Macaca mulatta: one gene and its partner. The protein of the gene in region 2 interacts with the protein of the main gene of each other region in a pairwise test. Links are inferred from orthologs where the notes say so. Each region holds a gene or a part of one and is shown on either strand. Other genes may lie near its edges.

Region 1 (2,976 bases), on a different chromosome or scaffold from region 2:
GAATCTTTGAGTCCTTGATTCAGCTATAATTGCCATTCATAATGAATTCATTTCTCTCTTTTAGGCAATGATAAATGAGTAGAAAGAGAGGAAGAAAATATTTCACTTATTTTGTTAAGAAATTATCTTGAGTTATGTGAGGAAAAATGAGTAAAATGTTTGTTGAAAGATTTTAATCCACTCACTTCATGGGTAACTACACAGGCCAAAGTGAAATCAATGTTTGGATATTTCAGAAACATTCTTTTAACCTTTTCCTGAATTGCCTGTATAGCTGTAACTGTACACTTTGGTCTTCAGAGAGAATTTACTTTTCAACACAGTTGTGCCAATAATAGACCAAATTGTTTTCACACAGTGAAAAGAGGTCAGTTTAAAAAGACTTAGAGGGACAATTCCAAGGTTCATTTTTGTTTTGTTTTGGTTTGATGAAAAAGAAAATCAGTCTTAATTTGTGGCTTATCTCAGGAAGTGATTTAACACCAGCCAAATTCTTGCATTCCTTCCCTTGGGAGAAGATAGTCTCTTGAGTCTTTCAAGAGACATTGATTTTTTTGTTTAAAATTGATTTTAAAAATATTTTATGTGATACCAAACAATTCATTGATACACAAAGCAACTGAAAATTGTGATTAGGTAAACATATCACCATAAATGTAATTTAATGAAATACAGGATTTTGTGTTGTCCATACGGGAATGAAGGCAGTATGGCACAAATTCTACATAGTTTATTTTTTACCAGCTGTATACTCCTTTTCATTACCATATCCACCTTGAAAATAAGAGGATCATAGTTCCCAACCTGGAAATGTTCCCACCAATGTGCGCTTGTTGAAAACAGATATACCATTAGTAATATCATTATGTATTTAGTCTATATTCCAGAAATTAATTATGAGTTTAAAAATGCATGCATATCCTAGAAAATATATTGACTTTATCAATGTTTAATTTTTTTACAGTGGTTCGTGGGTATATGGCATTTATTTTATTACCATTCTTTAGAATCAACATATACATTATAAATATTTTTGTATGTATTATACTTTATGATAATTTTAGAAATATACTTATCGTTAACAAATTACCTCTCTTTGCTGCTGGTCCTCATGTTTAACCTTCTCAACTGTCTGCTAAAAATAAATCATATATAAAAATATGTTACCATCTGTAAAAATTAGAGGAAATTTTGAAAATATGTACATTTTAAATGTGAAAATTTACCTTGTATTGTGTAATAGATTCCTATGGAAAAATATAAAATAAAATTAGATTTAGTTTTAACAATTCTTACTTTGCAATATAAATCAGGAAATAAAGGCATTAATTGTTTGATAATATCATTAATAACTTTGTATAATCATTAAAGCTTATATATTAAATTGTTCTATATAAGCTTGTTGTATAAAAGAAAGTCAGATGAATGCAGTCAAGAAGGACATGGCACAAAAAAAGCAATTAATAGATGCTAATTTCTCTCTACCACCATGCTCATCCCCTGACAACAAATGATCTCTAAAACCCCATTTGGTTTTTTAAAAAAGGCAATACTCTTTGAAAATATGTTCTAATAACAATTGATACATTATGATCACTTCAAATGAATCAGAAGAGTTAAACATTTCCCTTAAGGATCATACAACCTTCCTGAAGAAACAGAGTCTATTGAGGTACCATTTACTTATCAAGTGATCACACACCCAAGAAGAGAGATGTAAGAATAAATATCTACCTGACTCTCTCAGGTAGATTTAGGACTACACTAAATCTCACTTATTTGCTAAAGTGGCAATTGTAATTATAAAATGTGACCTTTTTCATATCTGCTTACCTACTGCTTAGCAAGCTCTTAACTATCACTCGCATCTCTATCTTTTCAGTTTGTACCACAGCTCCTAGTCGATGTCTGACCCATAGAAGACCCTCAATATATGCTCAAAGTGAATGAGTTCAGAGTAAAGAGAGTTCAAGGCAGAAAACAGGACTGTATGGTTCATTAAAAAAGAAAAAAAAAAAGAGGAAGCAACATAACACAATTTCAAGTAGCAAGCCAATTTAGAAAGTTCCAGAATGTTGTATTTTCCAGATACTTATTGTCCTTAAACATATATAAAGGAAATGTATACTAGAACTTATATGTCATTGACATAGTGGCATTAGCTTAACTGCCATGATATAACACCATAGAAAAATAGCACAGGATTTTACTCTTCTAAAATTGGGCAGAATGTTAACTTACCTCACTGCTTGAAAGATTTTCTACAGTCTGTGGAAAAAAAAAAAAAATGACAACCAGCTACATCTTCTAGATCATTAGAGAATTTTACTATTTTATGGTTCATAAATTTTCTCTAAACAAAAAAAATCTTACCTCAAAGGATGCACTGGATTGTTCCTTCTGAAAAGATGTTTAAAAATTCAGTTTCTACAGCTAACACATTGTTAAACATGTATCCTACTTAATTTTTACATCATTTATGCAGATCTATCTCTTTCACAAATGTGACAAATTAAAAATGTTATATGACTTTTGAGGCTTGAAAGGTAATTGCTTTAATGTCTTTTACATTTAGTAATTTTTATTAATATACTTTTATCTTACATTTATTAAAGACAGTTTTTGATGGTTGAGTCACTTTAATTTGTATTAAATATTTTTACTATATTATTATGAATGTATGATTAGGATTATGATTGTGTCTGTACTTCATCCTATGGATGCCTTTGTATAGACAGACTTGGACCCAGTGCCCTAGGCTATAAGATATATATACATTTTATGACTGGAATAAGATATGTTTATCTAGGTTGAGCATCTGTGGAGTTATTTATGCATGTATTTGTTGCCATTTTTATGATTTTTTATTACTTATTGATTTGTTTGCTTTTTCTTTAGTGACTAGCAGCACATTGGTGTCGGAAGCATTTGGAGCACTATAGGAAACTGTTGAGACAGTGGGTAAATATAAATGAT
Region 2 (3,758 bases):
ATAAGTCAGAAAGCTTAAAAAAATCAAAATGTAAGACAAGAGGAAATCAGAAAGAAGATAAATGCAGAATTAATGTTTCATCATTTTAGGACTTGTTTTTACAAACTGCAGCTTAAGGCTCACCATTTGAGAACTAGGAGACCATTTCCTAATATGTAACAATAGCGACAACACAGCTAGGTAGCTGTCAGGGGCTGGGAGCCTTTTCTACACAAACTTTGCTCTGAATTTCAAAATACTAGCCTGCCTTGACACTTAGTGGAAATTCAGGGAGGGTGGCCTTAACTCAGGTTCTTCAGGGAAGTGTCCCGTTTCAGGGACACCGTGGGGTGGGGTTAGGGGACGGCTGTATTCCGCACATCTAGTTCTGGCTGGGCTTATGGCAAGTCTCAGTCCTCTGGAGTCACCTGAGTGACTGAGGGATGAGAGGCATTTCTGATCCCGTAATATACTTACATGGTTTTGCCATCTACCGGACTCCAGTTCAAATCTCAGCTGGCACAGTTACCTTTCACGTGGCCTTGAGCAAATCTCTCTGAGCTGAACTTTCCTCACCATAAATCTGGTAAAAATCTTTACCTTAAGGAAGTGTGGATCAAATGAGATACCAGGTGGAGCTAGTGCTCATAGAGTGGAAGCTAAGGTGATGAAACCCTTGATTCTCAAGTTCTGTGATTCCATGATGGAGATCCATGAGGGCTACCAGATGGGGAGTATCAACTAAAAGAAAGCAATCACGGAGTTCTTCCTGCCTTCTCTGGAGGATGTATTCCTATGAGCTGCCCTGAATGTTAAAAATAATACACCTGCCCCCAAAGTGCCTAGGACGCCTTTGTTGTCCACCTGCTCATCGTCCATCGGTTTCTGCAAGTGGACCAGTTACCTGCTCAGGAGCAAACGTTTCTATCACGATGCACCCTCTCCCAGGGATGGGCTCAGCCTGTGCTCTCCCTGCGACAATGTTGAACAGTGCCATCTGTCCCTACCCAGCGTCAGTCTCACTCAGAGGGCACAGGCTTGGAGTGTGGGAGGCACGCTCCCAGCTCACTTTGCTTTTCCCGCCCTGGAGGGGAATCCAGGATGTCTAACTAGTCTTCTGGCCCCGAGAGGGAGAGGTAGGGATAGGACCTTCCTTTAGTCCCCTCCCTAGTGGAACGAACGATTCTTTACGGTCATCTGTGGGGTTCTTTTCGTAAAGAAGCATCTGCAGGGTAAGAAGGAAAAAAATCCACCGTGCAAATACATCCCAGGCACATGCCTCCTGAGAAGTGGCCCCCTCCTCCCTCCGCCGTCCCCGGCACCTCCTCGGGCTTCGCCAGCTTCCTGCTCCTGGGAGCAGGCAGAGATCCCGGCGTGGGCAGACCCCTGCCACTGGCGTCCAGGCCCCGTCCGAAACTCACGCCCACGTCGGAGGAGACTCTCGGGATAACCAAGGTGCTCCCAAGACCCGGAGGGCAAGAAGAAAGAGCCCTGGCAAACAAAGGGCATGGGCCGGGAGCGCCGCAGCCCGGGGCGGGGGCACGGCGACCGCTAGGCCAGGGGGCGCCCGCCCCCAGCGCCCCACGCCCGGTGCCAGCGAGCCGAGGCGTGCATCTCCTTATATGGTCAAATGACACGGAGGGGGTTCTCGAGGGCGGGAGCCGCGCAGCGCTCCACTCGGCCGGCAGCGGAGCAGCAGCCACCAGCCGCCCGCGCCCGCCCGCGCCGTCCGGGAGTCCCCGGGCCGCTGCGGCGCCGTGAGTACCTCCAGCTCCCTGCGCCCCGGAGGGAGGCCGAGGGGCTTAGCCACCAGGACTCGGAAGAGGGGGCCGAATCCGGTGCGAGACCCGGGGAGAGGGGAGCAGATCCGGAGTTGGGGAGACCGGTGAGTGGAGAGGAGAGCTGTGGGTCGGAGAAGAACCCTGGGAGAGGGGAGCCGAACCGTGCGGAGAGAAGCCGGGAGAAAGGAAATGAGCTGTAGGGTAGACCCGGGAGAGGGGAGCAGATCCCTGGGGGCTGGGAGTGGGGAGACCACGGGAAGAGGGGAGCGGAGCAATGAGAGGGGGCTAGACCCTGGGGGCGCTGGAGCTCAGAGGAGCCCACGGACCCATCCCCAGAGGGGGGATTACAGCCCAAGTCCTCACCAGGTGGGGCACCGCCATGCGGGCAGGGGCTTGGCTAGCCTGGGTAAAGGCTGGCCGCGGGTCCCAGCCGGCGGCTGCGGGGAGGTGACGCTGTCCCCTTGCTTCAAGGCCCGACTCCGGAGCCGGTTGTCCTGGCACGGTGGTCTGCGCGGGGGTGTCCGGGCTATTTCCCTTCAGTAGAAATAAGTGGAGCTTGCAGTGTGACCTCACTCCTTGACTCGTGTAGACATTTAATAACTGAACCATTCGGTTAAAAAAAAAAGGCGTATTTTAAATGAAAAAGATTCTAAGTTTTTCTTAAGTTGCACTCGTGTGATATCTTAGCATACTAGAAATTGAGGGAAGAAAATACTGTTTTTCAGATTTTAAATGAATCAATCATATTTACTTTCATATCCCCAGTCAGGTTTTAATTGGAAGTAGGCTAACCCCGTTAGCTGAAATGTGTAGCTGGCCTCCAAGCAGCAGTGAACTTAGACAGCACTGAACTTAAGGCCCGCACTCCCTTCCACATATTTTGGAAGGTAATAAATCACAATTTGGGCTTAGAATCAGGAGAACTGTCTTCAAAACACAACTCCAAATACATCTCACATTTTTGGTGCTGACTCTACTAACGAATGTTTTATAATAATATATTAAAGAAAAGAGGTTTTGCACTATCCTGAAGATGTTTTAGACCAAAAAAAAAAAAAAAAAAATTTGCAGCAAGTCTTAGAAGTACAGGAATTCCTAGTCTATCAATTTAATTTTAATAAAATCAAACTCAAAGAACATTTCATTGTGCATTTATATAAAATTTTTTCAAGTGTTACTGGATTTAGATCACCCTCCAATTTAGAAGATCATCAATTGATACATAGAATTGTGTTTTCATGGTGTTTATTAGCCTGCCATGGTTTAAAATGCGTTTACACCATCATATGTCGATGAAGGCTAATGATGGGCTTACTAAAGACCAGAAACTGTTCTGGGCACATAGATTCTGTCTCATTTTAGCTCACGGTCTCACAAATAACCACAGGCAGATGCGGTAGGCTAGAGGATGCGGGGGACTGCATCTAGGCTGCCTGAATTTACATCCGGGTCCCTCAACCTGTGCAGCCTGGGCCAAATCACTTCATGTCGTGGTGTCTCGGTTTCCTTCACTGGGAAACAGTGACAATGATGTTGTCTCTTTGGCAGGGTTGTTAAAAAGTCTGGACATCATAGACAGTGTGTACCTATTTGACAGCCTCATTTTTACAGGTAAAGACACTGAAAACAGAGATCAAAGTAACTTTAACTCAGGGTTTCCCAGGCTGTAAATGGTAGCCCTGAGATCTGACCCCAGGCAGCTTAACTTGAGAACCTGAGTTCTAACCCTAAACACACCACGGGAGGAACATTTGAATATTTATTTATTTTTTAACATTTGAATATTTCTATGAGGCCTTATGCTGCATTCTTTGACCCAAGATTGCGTGTTAAGCCACTTCCAGTACTGAAAGATATTTAAATTGCAGTCAAAAACACCCAGTAGAATATTGCACACACACACACACAAATCAGACTAGATATCAGTTTACTCCCGTCCTGTGCTGAGGGCCAGTTATTCAGCCTCTGTGACTCAGGCAGCTTCCTTTGTCAGCACCG

Evidence for each region. The genes of interacting proteins can lie anywhere in the genome.
Region 1: the proteins of FHL2 (region 2) and CSN2 interact in binary tests that used the Homo sapiens proteins (3 or more experiments, as listed by UniProt). The two-hybrid records come from large-scale screens. The link is inferred for Macaca mulatta from reciprocal best matches to the Homo sapiens genes FHL2 and CSN2.

What each region holds. Positions count from the first base shown.
Region 1 is NC_133410.1:63,895,498-63,898,473, reverse strand, and holds part of CSN2 (beta-casein), read right to left. Parts: intron 2,401-2,976; coding exon 2,374-2,400; intron 2,269-2,373; coding exon 2,242-2,268; intron 1,248-2,241; coding exon 1,227-1,247; intron 1,136-1,226; coding exon 1,091-1,135; intron 1-1,090. UniProt on the Homo sapiens protein: Important role in determination of the surface properties of the casein micelles.
Region 2 is NC_133418.1:13,501,118-13,504,875, reverse strand, and holds the start of FHL2 (four and a half LIM domains protein 2), read left to right. Parts: upstream 1-1,312; 5' UTR 1,313-1,609; coding exon 1,610-1,864; intron 1,865-3,758. UniProt on the Homo sapiens protein: May function as a molecular transmitter linking various signaling pathways to transcriptional regulation. Negatively regulates the transcriptional repressor E4F1 and may function in cell growth.